Callithrix jacchus: one gene and its partner. The protein of the gene in region 2 interacts with the protein of the main gene of each other region in a biochemical or structural test. Links are inferred from orthologs where the notes say so. Each region holds a gene or a part of one and is shown on either strand. Other genes may lie near its edges.

Region 1 (7,827 bases), about 140 Mb from region 2:
CGTCCAGAGGGCAGCGGAGCTCCTTGTAGAGCTTGATGGTGCCATTTTGGGGGAGTGTGTAAGTCTCGTCACAGTGGGAGCAGTGCAGGCGGCTTGGCTTGGCCTGCGGTAATGCCAGGCAGGGGGTGTGAGGGTCACTGAGGCCACCGACTTGGCCCCTGCCCCACTCCTCTCATAACACACCATATGTAACCTGTCATGTAGAACCTGTGACACACTGCCAGGCAAGGACCCTGAGACTCCGGCCCTTGCCCCAAGCATGCAGAAAGGCAGTTTGAAATCCCTGTGCATTGGTGTGATGTTAGGGAAAGCACCGTGTGTTTGCATGGCCCAGTGGCTGTGTTTGAGGGGTCATGGGGACACTGGATATTTTTCGGCAAGGCTGCTTTATGCTCATTCTTCTGTGACAATCAGGACAAAGAATGTAATTCCTACATGACCAACGATAAAGCTGAAGCCCACAGGGGTGAAGCAGCTTGCCCAAGTCAGTGCTCCCCGAACCTACCTGGATGTACTTCATGAAGCGGTGGCACTTCCCGCAGCGTGACAGGGGCTTGCCTGTGGCCGCCAGGGGTGAGAAAGACACCTCCATTAACTCATCCATGCCTGCGGGCAAGCAGAGTGCAGAAGTCACCTCTCTCATAGTCTCTGGCAGAAGGCGCCACCATACGTGGTCAAGGGTTTGAGTGTGAGAGGGTCCCTGCAGGTGCTGGTTTCTACTGTCCATGGCAGAACGGCAGGGCAGCAGCTCCGTACATCAGAGCACATGCTCTTGGCCATGTGTGGTGCAAATGCACCTGCTCTTTTAACCAAGCCAGGTGGTGTCACTACCCTGACCTACAGAGGCCTGGAGCCCAGATCTGGGAGCTGGTCTTATGTGGGGACCGGGGTCCCCAGGTGTTGGCTGTGCTGACAGAGGGTCCTCTGATGAGGGGCAGGCCAGAGGCAGACTCTACCTGCAATGGAGTCGACAAAGTAGTGGAACTTCCTCTTGAACACGTCCAGGGTGTGGCCCAGGACCTGGCGGTAGTCGGCCTTGCCCTGGGCGATCAGGTTCAGCTGCTTCTCCACTGCACTTCGGATGGTGGGGAGCACTAGCTCTGCATCTGCAAGTGGGCAGGGGGCAGATACTTCCCTGAGCACTCATGCCCAGAGCCTGCCCACCCCTCCTGCTCCGGCCCGTCCTCCTGGCCTCTGCCCTGTCCGCCAGTCCACAGCCTCAGATGGTACCAGGCTGGCTCCTATACCCCCAGACCTTTCCTGACTTCTCACCCGGAAATCTCAGGCAGAGTGCCCGGTGGCTAGAACCACATCACAGATGAGCTCCAGGCTGCCCTTGGGCCAGTTCTGTGCTCCTCCCTCTCCCCTTGGCCTCTGGGGAACCTCCAGAGGATAGAGCTGAGGCACCTTCGCCTCCTCTTTTGGTTCCCTCACACATGTCCATTCAGCTTTCAAACACACCCAGCTCCTGCTCTGGGCAGGTCCTGGGGGTCCTGGGGAAGCGCCCCTTCAGTGGTGTTGAGGGAGTGCATGTGGGGCTGGGGGATCACTCCAGGGCAGGGCCTGTCTGGAGGGGGCGGCAGAGCCAATGCCCAGGGAGAAGCTAGGAATTCCCGGTGAACCCTGGGGGCAGGGCCGAGGGACTCACCAATCTTGTAGTAGCCGTGCACCAGGACAATGCCGAGGTTGGTGGGTTTGAGCCGGCGCCCGCTCTCCACGGTGACATAGTTGCGCTGGCAGATGTTGTTGATATGCACAGGGATGCTGGCATCTGTGCCTGCAACGTACAAGGCCCCAGGGTTCCTGGCCTACCCTGGACACGCCTCACTGAACTACATGCTGTAGCCACTGCCACAGGGCCCCTGGTGCTCAGGCTCTCTCACGGCTCCTGGCCACCCACAGGAGGGAGGGCTGTGCTCTGAGCACCCACTGCACTGTGCTGGGCATCAACTGCATGCCTTTCATGTTCTGCCTTGAGAACACAAGGGCAGCCCTCTCTGCACGGGGTCTACTCCTGCTTTATGGTAGAGGCTCGGAGGTTAAGGAACTCTCCAAGGTCACAGTGCTTATTCTGTGCCTGGTAAACGTGACTTCTTTGGCTTCTCCTGCCTGGATCCTGTGGCACCCACCTGGTCCTGGAGCCAGAGCCCCCTCTACCAGAACATGGAGGTGCTTACAAGCTCACTGCAAAGACACTTCCTGTCTCCCATCTCCTCCCTCTCTGCAAGGCCTGTCACGGTACACAGGGCAGGCTCCCAGTCCCCAGGATTCCTCTCTCCCACCCAGAGCCTTCCTGGCAGAGGGGCGCAGCAGAGGCTGAGGCATTCTGACTATGGTGGGTGCCAGTCAGAGGGGCAGAAAAGAAGCTTAGGCTCCCTGCACTCTCACCAGCATGGGCAGGTGACATACACCTTCCCAAAGCAGCTTGCAGAGAATATCACATGGGAAGAAACTGGCCTCCAGGGGCTAAGGAGCCTGTCGAAGCTCGGCACCTGGTGTGGCAGGCTGTGGGTAGTATGTGCTGCCACCATGTGAGTCTGCCAGGTGCCATGATGTGTGGTATGGGCTCCTCTGCAGCATGTGCCCTGCCCGCTGTATTCTCACCCCAGACCTGGGTGGCGGCTCCTGGTTAGGCCCCTTTTACACACTCCTGGGGGCTCAGTCACAGGCTCAGACCATTCTCCTGTTCAGAAGGTAACACCAGAGCCCTCTTCACTGTCACAAACTTGTATTGGTGATTGGGTCTTGCTCACTGGATACCATAGGGCTGCCAGGAGCCACAGTAACCCATCAGTGGGAGAGAGCAGAAGACGCAGGGGGAGCACAGCCCACACTCCACAGTGGGCTGAGGGCTGCTATTTCAGGACCTTGGCAGGTGCCCTGGACCTCTGGGAGGAGCAAGCCCAGAGCTCTGCTCTCCTGCCAAGGTTGCCACAGTCACCAGGACCCTAGCCTGGGGAGAGACACTCCCTGAGAGTCCACCTCTATGACCACTGCTGGAGCAGAGCCTGGACACAGTGGCTGTGACATCCCACAGGCCTCTGGAACCCATCAGCCAGGCACAGCTGGAGATGAAGCCACAGGCAACAGGCAGTGCCCAGCAGTGCGAGTGCCACCTGGGAGAAGGTTCTGTCAATGAGGCTGGCCCCCAACATATGAGACCTCACTCAGCCCTAGGCCTGAGGACTTGTGAGGCCACCTCTCCTGTGAGGAGTGTGCACTGGTGACTACATTTTTGCTTTGATAAACTCCCCTGGGCTGCCCATTCTTGGTTAGAAACTTCTTGGTCACCCTTTGGGGAGCCCTGTCCCTTGGACAGGCATTTCTGTTCCCTCCGCCAGGGAAGCAGTTCCTGTGAGAGCTCATTTCCCTGTCATGTGACTTCAGGACAGACCAGGCTGGCTGTGTGGACTGAGGAGACTGCCAAAATGATTTCTATGAGCCATTTGGCATCTGGGCCAATCGTCAGCACTGTGGGCATTAGTCAGTGTGTGCCCACCCCACAGTGCACGAGGGCACATCTGGGCCTTCACAGAGAAGGCCAGGTTCTGAGTGGAGGCCTCGGGAGGGGATGCCTGCTGTGGACCTGCAAGGCTGGCCACATGTGGGGTCATCAGTTTCCAGATACCAGTCCATGGATGGGTGCTGGGCTAGGCACATAGGGGTGGCTGGGCAGCTTTGTGAGTAGACTCTCAGCCTGAGTGCTGGAGACAGAGCTGGCTCTGGGGCCTGGGCAGGCATACCCACCGATGCCGTGCTTCTCCATGAGCGTGATGAGCTCAGCCTCCGTCAGGTAGTCGGGTGGGCTCGTCTGCTTCTCCAGCATCTTTACCTCACTCACAGTGAAGGTGTCACCCCGCTGGCAGGTGGGCAGGCTCTCCTCCAGGGGCACGCTCTGCCAGGGCATAATCTCCGTGAAGCCTGGAAAGACAGGTGCCACCACTCAGGGTCCCCAGCCTTGAGGGGCCTGGGTCTCAGACCCTGGGCCTCCCATTCCCAGACACAATGTAGAATGGTTTTTTTTTGTCTGCCCATGAAGGTGGGGAGGAGGAAAGCTGGGCCCGCAGTGTGACCTGGTGAGAGGACGGTCTTCCCAGAGCAGGTGAAGAGCTCTGGCCCAATCCTGAAGGAGATGGTGCTCTGCAGGTACTTGCAGTCATGGCTGACTGTGGCGATGAAATGTCTGGTGATGTATTCGTAGAGCCGCCATGCGTCACCCCCTGCAACAGGCCAGGGCTAGTTAGCTGGGAGCCAGCTGAAGGCTCTGATCGTGAGGAGCCCCTAGCACTCTTGCTTGAGCAGCAAGGTCCTGCTTCCAGGGCCACTGTGTGGGACACACTGCAAATTCAGGGAAGCAGGAAAGAAAATGTGCAGGAAGGCTGGACGCGGTGGCTCACACCTGTAATCCCAGCACTTTGGGAGGCTAAGGCAAACTCCTACTTGAAGTCAGGAGTTTGAGACCAGCGTGGCCAACATGGTGAAATCCTGTCTCTACTAAAAATACAAAGAAATTAGCCGGGTGTGATGGTAGGCACCTGTAATCCCAGCTACTCAGGAGGCTGAGGCAGGAGAACTCCTTGAACTTGGGAGACATAGGTTGCAGTGAGCTGAGATCAGGCCACTGCACTCCAGCCTGGGTGACAGAGCAAGACTCTGTCTCAAAAAAAGAAGAAAATGTGGAGGAAGGGAACACAAACCTCTGTGCCTCAGTGGTTCCTTCATGGCTGCAGCTCCTCCCACCCTGCACAACCTCTTGCCCCTGCTTCTGGCAGGACTATTCTTCAGGTGTGGGCCTATCCTTCTACTGTCTCGTGACATGACACCATCACTTCAAATTCAGACTGTCCACAAGTGGCCCCTGTCTCTACCTGCACTGCTCTCCCTTCCTCATCTGCCTTCTCCTGGCACTTGGACCACTGGTACCACCTCAGGCCAGCTGGGAGGTAGGAGGCACCCCCTACACCCCACCGCTGAAACCTGCCACTCTCTGCCTTGGTTTCATTTATGTCCCCTGTATCGTCTGCCCCCGTGCCTCCCTGCAACAGCCACCTGCACCTGCTGCCACCTCTTCATTCCTGGCCTGTTCCCACAGTAATGAAGCTCATTTTCCAGGTGACTCCCCCCTTGCCCCAGCCAGGGCAGGCAGGGGCTGAAGGAGCCCCACATTGCCAGCAGGGCCTGCAACCTTCACTGTCGAAGCTTGCCTTTCCCTCCCTGGAAGCATGGCAGGTATGGGGTGAGAGGGGTACCTAATTCAGCTTCTGTGGCAGACCTCATGGGGGTGATGGGGGGATGGTCGCCGGCATCGTGGCCTTTCCGTGGGCGGTTGATACCTTCTGCTAACAACCGCTTTACCTGAGGGAGAGAAGACAGAGCAGAGTCTGTGGCTGGGCTCGGCTGCCTGCCTGGGTTTGGCTCAAGTACCAGACCTGGTCCTAAGGCCTCAGTGACACATACACATGTGGGGGCCGGCCTGGCTCAACTCACCATGTCAGCCCAGTAGGGGTGGTTGGCCTGCTGCCGCAGAGCACCCTTCAGGTCAAAGTTCTCAGGGTAGTGGGTGGTCTCTGTACGTGGGTAGCTGATGTAGCCTTGTGTGTAGAGCCGCTCGGCTGTCTGCATGGCGTGCTGTGGTCCCATGCCTGTGAGAGACAGGAGGCTCTCAGAGGGTCAGGTGCCTACCCTGATCTGTGTACTCAGGCTCCCCGCAAGGTGGCCAGCCCCTCCTGGAGGGTAAGGGTGGCTCTGGACAGGCATGGCTAGAGTGCAGAGCTGCTGGCCAGGTGGGCACCTATGCCACACAGCCTTGTCTGAGGTTGAATCCTGCACCTGTGAGAGTGGGTCCAGGAGGGGCCTGATGGGAAACGCTGCTCACTCAGGACTCGTGGCCATGGGGATAAGACATGGCCTTCAGAGCACTGCTCCCTACGCACTGGCCACGGAGCCATAACCATGCCTCGGGTTGGCTGACGGCAGAGTTAGCACATAGCCCATTTTGAGCCCTTGGGTATTTCTGTCCTCATGGCACTCTGGGGCCACTGAGGGGGGCTCGCCTTGTTATTTCCTGGCCAGCAGAGGCTGGCACTTAGCTAGCAACCACTCCCAGCATTGCTGCCCTCTGATGCCACCACTCTGAGAGGACACTGCCAATAGTTCCCTGCAGGGGGGCACCAATGCCTAGGGGCTGACAGCTTCCAGAGACCACCAGCTTTCCAGCCCAACCCCCTCCTAACTACTGCGGAGACAAGGCTGAAAGGAGACCAGGCTGATAGGCGACGTTCACACTAGTTCCCAGAAGGTGACATAGCTGCTCAGGGACTCTAACATCAGGATGTCCCCTCAGGGGGTGACCAACTTTAACACCTTTACAACCTAAGGAGTGAAATCCTCACGAGGCTCAGATCTTGAAACCTCAGGCACCACCTTGCCTCCTTGGGCACTCACTGCTCCAGGCTGAACCTGCTTCTACAAGCCTGCCTTAGGAAGCCTTCTGGAGACTAAATTTAGAGAAATGTCCCTACTTACCCAGAGAAGAGCTGGCTACACGCAACATCTCCACAGTGTTCAGGGCCAGAGGCCTCTGCTTGGCCTTTTCTTTCCTGCTTGTGGCCTCCACCTGGAAGACAGGATAGTCAGTGATTTGGGGGAGGAGGAAGATACCACCATAGATGAAATCAAGATGTGTGGATAATGAGCTTAGGAATTCTCTTAAAAAAAAATAAAGAAGTGTGGACAAAGGGTCTGGTCTCATTCATTTGGTCTCCCTGCTTCTCCAATTCATTTCTTCTCAACAGTTTAAAGACTTGATTGAATATTTATTCAGGACCAGGACCAGGAAGGGTAAAAGAATAAAAATTTTCTTTAAAAAAGAATTTTTTAAGAGACAGGCTGGAGTGTCTATTGCCCAGGCTGGAGTGCAGCGGTACCGTCAGAGCTTACCCTCAGGTACCATCAGCCTTGAACTCCTGGGTCAAGTGATCTTCCTGCCTCAGCCTCCTGAATAGCTGAAACCACAGGAACACACCATCATACCTGACCAATTTTTTATTTTTTCAATTTCTTGTACAGACAGTATCTTGTTATGTTGCCCAGGCTAGTCTTAAACTCTTGGCCTCAAGTGATCCTCTCACCTCAGCTTCTCAAAGTGCTAGGATTACAGGCATGTGCCACCATGTCCAGCTACTTTAAAAAAATTTTTTTTTTTTTTTGAGACAGGGTCTTCCTGTGTTCCAGGCTGGTCTCAAACTCCTGGCCTCAAGTGATTGAATATTCTTTTCTGAGAATTTTCTAGGGGAATAGAAAACCTGGAAGACTGAGGAGGAGTCAGAAGAGCTGCAGATGGAAATCCTACAGAAGCCAGCATCAGCCAGGCTACAGGGAGGGCAAGTGGGGCCCGTCCCAGGACAGTGCTGCTCCTTGCTGTGGGGAGGGCTGCTGCCTGTGCCTGGTAGTACTGCTACCTCTTCTGATTTTTCAAGAGAAGCTAGAAGGTAGAATTTTCGTGTGAAATCTCCTAATTTTTAAGTACTGGTAACTGCTCTGGCATTTCTGTAAATACCTCATAGGCAGTGAAGTGCACCCGTGAGCTGTGCTTGACTGGGGTCCCACCACTGTCTACCTCTGCTGAGCATTTGTTCAAAGAGACACCTCTTTGTTTTGCCTACGGCAAGAACAATCCAAACAACTCAACTCCTTGCCCTTGCCAAACCCACGTAGGCTGGTCAGGGCAGTGCCTTCTGCATTCCTGACTGACAGATGTGGGTGCTAACATGGAGATCAGCTGTTATGCAGCAGGGAGTCTGGGCTCCCTGAAGTAAGGGCGGGAGG
Region 2 (7,827 bases):
CACAGTGACTGTTCTTTCTAAGGCAGCTACTATTGGCTCAATAAACACTGATTTCCAACTACTTTACTTTTTCTTGCTTCCATCATGAAAGACAAATAGCTAAATAATGAATCTCCTACTACTCAAATCAAATAGTTCCTGAATTTCAGAAAGTAAGTGGTCTGAGTTGGAAGAATAAGAATCTGGTTAGTGAAGACCACCTACATCTGCTTTTCAACCTTCCTAATAGCCAGAGAATGGCTATGTGAAATAGTTCCAAATCTGCTGGTATTCCTGGGAAGGCTTTTGCTTTTCCAGAGAAAAAGACAAGACACACAGTCCTGTCTCCTCCCTTCCTTCCAGCTTTAAGTAAAGATGTGACAGAGATGCTGTTTCTAAATAATTATCATTCTAGTCACACAAAAACCTTAAAAATATATGCCATCTAGCTGTATCCTCCTTTGTTCTATCATCAGGCAACACCTAATACTCTGCCTATACCTCATTATTTAATGAACACAAGAAGGCCTGGTTCATGACCCCATATTCCATTGCATCCTTATGAAAGGATCCACCCAAATCCCTAGTATGAATTTCAGTTCCTTGAAATCTTCAGTTACTTTTACTTACATTATTCCCTTTGGCTACACACTCTTATAGGCATATCCTTACCATATCAACTGCAACCTATAAAATACTTATTTTGAATATTTTTCCTCTTTGAGTTGCTTCTCACATCCACCCCGACATTCACTCTATAACTCCCTTACATATGGTTTAATTACCTTGCTATTACCTCCATCCCCTCGCCATCCTTTTTTCTCATATATAAGTGCCCCCTCCAGAATTAGCTAATTAACAGAGTTAACAAATAATTATGAAATCCATATACTGTAAAAGGAGCAAGACTACAGAGGAAAACCAGACACAGTACAGACTTCAAAGAACTTAATATCATGGTAGTGCAAACAGATACCAATTCAAGAACCAAACCCAAAAATATTTAAAAATTGTGACAAATTTTAAAAAGTTAAGGCATTGATTAAGAGAATAATGTACGTAGGAAGATGGGGCAGGTCAACGAAGGCTTCTTCTAGGAGGTGATGTTTGAGCCAAGCCCTCGAGGATGAGAAGAGTAGCTGACAGAAGAGCACATTGTACGGAAGGGAAAAAGTGTGCAAAGGCCCGTTCTCTGTGATGTACCCTCTGTCCTTTTCCCTTTCCTGTTCTCACTGTGCTGGTCTTCTATCTCTCGGCCAGGCTCTTACTCAAATCCTCATCTTGTATCTTTCCTTCCTTCTTTCCCCTACAATTTTTCTCTTTCCCTTTTAGCCAGCACATAATATAGAACTAAAGATTGGTTTAATAATTTTTACACTTGATATTTAATGGTTTAATAATTTTTAAATTATTATAAGATAAATAATTAACTTATATATTAACTTTTTTTAAAGTAGGCTGAATGTCTAATTTTTTTTAATTGAAAATCTGCAAAATTTCATTTTGTGCCACTCAACTGATTTTCTTCCATGTGAATCAGTGTAATTTTACTAGAGTGAAAAGCAAACATGCATAATTAAGCTGATGATAAGTAAAATAAAGTTCAACTTCACATAATTACTTTTACAATAGTTTTCTGGCATGTAAACTAAAACCATACCTAACTTAACCAAATGTTATGGAACAGATTGTCCCTAAGCATCCATAAAAATATTAAATATTTTGTTTATCCTTTATATAGCTATAAATCTGTCCGAAGATTTTAAATAAGTATAATTGTAGAAAAAAACCTCATAGTTCCAAAGTGATGGCTTCTATAAAGTCCCACTAGAATGTTACATTTAGTAATATTAGTGTATAATATCTTTAAAGTATCCATACCTTGTTGTCTTCCCAATAAAGTGCAAAACATTCATCTCCAGGTTTCCACATTTTTGCATACTCCATAGGAATAGATGATTCTAGTATTTTTTCTGGCTTAATTGGCCCAGATCTTCTTTTGGGACCACTATTATAAAACATTTTATCATCATAGGATATAGCTGTGATAGGTCCTGCTGGCTTAATAGGTCCTATTCGTCTTCCTTTCAGCGGCATTTCTACCTCTCCATTTGGAACACCGATGAAACTATTACTTCGAACTGGATTCTGATAATCAGTATTTACATTAAAATGTTTTTCAATTTTTTGACCACTGAAAGCTTCATTATTTATTGTTCGTGATCTCCTGTCATAAAAATGATCAGGATTAGATGTTTGGTTTTCTCTTTTTCCACGTTTTTGATTATTATAATCTATAGATTCTTGAGGACGTGGATTTTCTTTTGCATCTGCATAGGAGGGACCTTTTCCTGATCTGCTTTGCATAGAGTTATCTCTTTTTTTAAAAGCACCATCACTATGCTGAGAACGTAAAGGATACGAAGTATCTTTAGTTCTGTCATATCTAGAATATGGTCTATCACATTTGATTCTGTCTTCGGCCCATACTTCAGATGCTGAAGAAGTACCTGGTCTTTCAGAATCTCTATTTCTAGGTAATCCACTGCCTTCTAAAACTGACTTTGAATTTTGGGAGTCTCTTTGAAAACGAGGTGGTTTTTCATTTCTTGGCTGCCTGGTATCATTTCGAGGAAGAAATCTCAGTTGATTAGTATCTTTTATTCCATTTTGCTCAGTATTTGATGATCTGTATTGTCCCTGATGAAGCTGCTGTGGCTGTGATTTAGGTTCTGAAAGGTAAAAGTATACCATATGCACATTAACATGAAGACTCTGCATTAATAATTATTTTTAAATGCTTCAAATTATTCTGTTAATACAAAATTATCACACTACTATTTTAAAATCTTTGTCAATTTTCCTTCCTTATTATCTTACTCCTTCTCTGCCTCCTTGGAGTCCTGTATTTTTAATGTACAGTTTTCTTAGTCAGCAATATTAATAAAGTAAAGCAGTAAAATGGACCACAGAAAAGTGATGGATAATCCAAATTCTTATAATACAGCTGCCTACATATGCTATTCTGGTAAATAATTTCCTAAAACATTAATGAGGTCGGGTGTGGTGGCTCACGCCTGTAATCCCAGAACTTTGGGAGGCCGAGGTGGGCGGATCACCAGAGGTCAGGAGACTGAGACCATCCTGGTCAACTTGGTGAAACCATGACTCTACTAAAAAATTAGCCAGGTGTGGTGGCATGCACCTGTAGTTCCAGCTACTCAGGAGGCTGAGGCAGGACAATCACTTGAACCCAGTAGGCAGAGGTTGCAATAAGCCAAGATCCCGCACTGCACTCCAGCCTGAGTAACATAGAGAGACTCAGTCACAAAAACAAACAAACAAACAAAATTAATGAAATAGAACTACAAATTGCCAACTCAAAAACTACTATGAAACTGCACAAGTACAACCCTGTTCATCTCTTTCTGAATGCCACTCTAATTTAGAAATATAGAGCTATTATCAATCATGTTCTAGCCTTTGCAAACATGTTCCTTTTCAAATCCTTCTGGATCTGGAATTGCTAAGTGTTTATGTTACAAACAGATATCCTACTACTAAAAAAGAGTAAGAGTTAATTTTCTAGATCTGTTAAAGTAATTAAGTAAGAGTAGGTATTATTTGGAAATACAGAAAAAAGTGTCAAAAGTGGAAATACTGAAAAGGTGTCAAAACATTACTAAGCATAATAGTGCATATAATGTACAAGCAGTGACATGATAAACATATATAGAAAAATTTTAATGGCTGAATTTCACAGTGATTTTTATTGATTCAATTTGTACAGTGTAATTTATACTTTCTTCCTCCATCATTTCACATTGCATGTCTATAACATTATAACCAAATATATTCATTGATCTTTGGTGCATATGTCTTGTTTCTGTTGTCATATATCATAATCAACACGCAGCTGTAATTATTCTTATATTTCCCCAGGGTCACAACATTTCCAAAGAGAGCCTCTACTGATATCTTGGGTGAGATTGTTTCCAAAGATGTAAGGAAATTAACTGCAAGAAAATTAACTTCTTTGGCCTACAGATACAAAATGCCCCTAGCATCCCCAGGCACTCTGACTATCAAAACTGTCCCCAAACATTTCCAAACAGCCACTGGAGGCCAAAAGGTATCTGGTAAATTGTTTAAAACAACAGGAATAAAGGTTTAAAGGTTACTGAGTGACAAAACAGGTAACCAATTAAAGATCAAGACACAAGTGGTCAGGCCAGGCATGGTAGCTTGCACCTGTAATCCCAGCACTTTGGGAGGCTGAGGTGAGTATATCACTTGAGGCCAGGAGTTTGAGACCAGCCTAGGCAATGTGGTGAAACCTTGTCCCTACTAAAAATACAAAAATTAGCTGGGTGTGGTGGTGCACACCTGTAATCCCAGCTACTCTGGAAGCTGAGGCAGGATAATCACTTGAACCCGGGAGGCGGAGGTTGCAGTGAGATGAGACCATGCCACTGCACTCCAGCCTGGGTGACAGAGCAAAAAACTCTGTCTCAAAAAAAAAAAAAAAAAAGAGAGACTCAAATGGTCCAAAAAACCCCTTCTCAACAGAACCAATGGAAGCTAGAAGCCAAAAGGGTTTAAGTATCTTTAACATTTTAGGAGATTTTCTAAGGAAAAAAATTAATCCAGTTAAACCACCCCTTAATCATGACAAAGAATAAAGATTTTCCTAAGATACAAGATTTCAAAAATTAGCCAAGGCCATAAGAGATTTCTTAAAAAAAATAAAAATAAAAACACTTTCCCCCAAGAATATCTGCCTTATAAACTTAACGTAAATGTCATATTTTAACAAATGTAGTCAATATTGAATTTTTCTTTAGAGAGAAGAAAAATGGTCACTTTAAGTTTCTGCTGGCATTGTTTACTGTCCAGGAGTAAAGACTCTGGGAAGAACAGTGGTGACCATAATCAGGACATAAACAAGTGCTTTCAGCAGAAGGCATGTATTGGCTTTTTTCCCAGACATTATTGGAAAATAAAAGCAGCAGTTGCCTCCTGTTGACTGGTTGATTATCTGCTAGGTTCAGTTAGCCCACACTAGTACTTTATATACATTATCAATAGACCCCTAGGTCGTTTTATGATACAGGTGTTATGAGGCTTATCAGAGAGAGGTAAAGTAAGGTCCTTGTATAGTACATTAAATAAGTAACTGTTTAGGGATCAACTTTTCTTAAATTATTCCAGTTAGGGCCACCAATATCTTTGATAATCAGGAGGTACAGAAAAAATTAAGATACACGAAAGTAATAAGTATCCTGGACTACAGATGAAGGCTGAATAACGATGTACAAAGAATGAAAGTTCAATCAGGCTTGGCAGGTGTGGCAGAATTTGATTTCAATTCTTCTAAAAGGAAAATATGAAAAATTTCCTAATCTACAATTTAGAATTAAGGGGTATTTCCCTACACACATATAGTTTAAAAGTGAAGAGATGAAAGAAGATGTACCATGCTAAGAAAAAAAACAGAATTAAGGGGTACTATGGATCTAAGGAACTATCCTGGAGAACTATATTAATAGGAAAATGTAAAATGTCTTCATTTTGTTCCGGATGCAAATTACTTAAAGAACTTCTGATTTTTTTTTTATTATTGTTTTTACTAACATTTAACACTTTCATTTATGTACTCAAGCAGTCTTGTATCAAAAGTACTATCTCAGAAAAGAGAATGACAAATTCCCTAACAGCTTATTATTTAACAAATAAACAAGCCTAGGAAACTTCTGATAGTAAAGAGGAAAAATCATTCCATTTAGAACTTAAGATATTATTTTCAGTTACTGAATTAATGATGATATACATTAGACTATAGAATAAAAGAAGTAATTTTGTTAATAATGAACATACCTCATTTCCATTACTATGCTGAGATAATATAGTAAGAGTAAAATTTATAAATAAAATTATTTTTTAAAAATAAGAATTCCTGGCCAGGCATGGTGGCTCACCCCCATAATCCCAGCACTTTGGGAGGCCGAGGCGGTGGATCACCTGAGGTCAGAAGTTCGAGACCATCCTGGTCAACATGGTGAAACCCCAACTCTACTAAAAACGCAAAAATTAGTCAGTCTTGGTGGAGTGGCCCTGTAATTCCAGTTACTTGAGAGGCTGAAGGGGAGAACTGCTTGAACCTGGGAGGTGGAGGCTGCAGTGAGTCGAGATGGCACCACTACACTCTAGCCTGGATGACAGAGCGAGACCCCGTCTCAAAAAAAAAAAGTTTTTTTTGTTTTTTTGTTTTTTTTTTGAGATGGAAACTTGTTGTCGCCCAGGCTGGAGTGCAGTGGCATGATCTTGGCTCACTGTAACTTCTGCCTCCCCCGGGGGCTCAAGTGATTCTCTTGCCTCTGCCTCCCAAGTAGCTGGGATTATAGGCACCCACCACCACGCCCAGGTAATTTTTGTATTTTTAGTAGAGACGGGGTATTACCATGTTGGCCAGGCTGGTCCCGAACTCCTGACCTCATGATCCACCCACCTCAGCCTCCCAAAGTGCTGGGATTACAGGTGTGAGCCACTGTTCCCGGCCGTAAATTGTGTTTTCAAAATAAGTTAGTTTTCATATATATCCATTTCATTCAAAATGAAATAACAGCTAAGAAGTCATCTTGGATTCCTAATCAGTCTTGGATTCATCATCCAATCATTCTTGGATTTCCTTAAGCCCAGTACATTTTAGGTTAGTTAAATCATAAAGTCATATATAAAGTAAGTGTTTTCAAACTGGGCTTATCTATGAAACACATAACAAATATACTCAATTACTAAATTGTGGGAGAGGCAATATTTTTTCCTTTTTTTTTTTTTTTTTTTGAGATGGAATCTCACTCTGTCACCCAGGCTGGAGTGCAGTGGAGAGATCTTGGCTCGTTGCGCAGGTTCAAGCGATTCTCTGCCTCAGCCTTCCAAGTAGCTGTGATTACAGGTGCAGGCCACTACGCCTAGCTAATTGTATTTTTAGTAGAGACGGGGTATCACCATGTTGGCCAGGCTGGTCTCGAACTCCTGACCTCAAGTGATCTGCCCAGCTCGGCCTCCCTAAGTGTTGGGATTACCGTGAGCCAACATGCTCAGCAATTTTAAATAAACTAAGGAATATACTCCAAATCAATTGCGAAGACAGCTCCTTGGTTACCCAGTCAGAATCTGATTGTTCTCCTCTACCCTTTTTGAGGTGGCATCATGACTCTAAACTACATTAGATACCAAATGTGCAGCACAGGTCAAGTCTATAATCACTCTAATAAATATACTAAGATATTCTTCCATACAGGCAGCAGGCTAAAATGCATCACATTTTTTTTAAATTGCCCCAAAGGAAAGGTTGAAAACAAAAGCACAAGTAGAAATGAGTAACATTTAACATTAAAAAGCAGAAAATATAAAAGATTGGCAAAAAAGTGATAGAAAAATGTATTACGGGCCCGGCACAGTGCCTCACGCCTGTAATCCCAGCACTTTGGGAGGCCAAGGTAGGTGGATCACTTGAGATCAGGAGTTTGAGACTAGCCTGACCAACATGATAAAACCTCGTCTCTATTAAAAATACAAAATTAGCTGGGCATGGTGGTGCACGCCTGTAGTGCCAACTATTCAGGAGGCTGAGGCAGGAGAATTGCTTGACCCTGGGAGGCGAAGGCTGCAGTGAACAGAAATGGCACCACTGCATTCCAGCCTGGGCAACAGAGCAAGACTCCATCTCAAAAAAACAAAAAGAAAAATGTATTACAAAATAGACAAAACTGTGAAAACACCTCAAAGATCTAAAAGATCAAACAATCAAGGTGGGGAAAGCTCCTATGAGAAAACTAATCAAAG

What was found.
Region 1: the proteins of TDRD3 (region 2) and TOP3B form a complex in vitro, tested with the Homo sapiens proteins (2 studies listed by BioGRID and IntAct, with this or other methods). The link is inferred for Callithrix jacchus from reciprocal best matches to the Homo sapiens genes TDRD3 and TOP3B.

Annotation. Positions count from the first base shown.
Region 1 is NC_133502.1:193,908,963-193,916,789, forward strand, and holds part of TOP3B (DNA topoisomerase 3-beta-1), read right to left. Parts: intron 6,617-7,827; coding exon 6,526-6,616; intron 5,643-6,525; coding exon 5,488-5,642; intron 5,356-5,487; coding exon 5,250-5,355; intron 4,221-5,249; coding exon 4,074-4,220; intron 3,922-4,073; coding exon 3,748-3,921; intron 1,778-3,747; coding exon 1,649-1,777; intron 1,107-1,648; coding exon 957-1,106; intron 607-956; coding exon 506-606; intron 104-505; coding exon 1-103. UniProt on the Homo sapiens protein: Releases the supercoiling and torsional tension of DNA introduced during the DNA replication and transcription by transiently cleaving and rejoining one strand of the DNA duplex.
Region 2 is NC_133502.1:55,108,288-55,116,114, forward strand, and holds part of TDRD3 (tudor domain-containing protein 3), read right to left. Parts: intron 2,712-7,827; coding exon 1,861-2,711; intron 1-1,860. UniProt on the Homo sapiens protein: Scaffolding protein that specifically recognizes and binds dimethylarginine-containing proteins. Plays a role in the regulation of translation of target mRNAs by binding Arg/Gly-rich motifs (GAR) in dimethylarginine-containing proteins.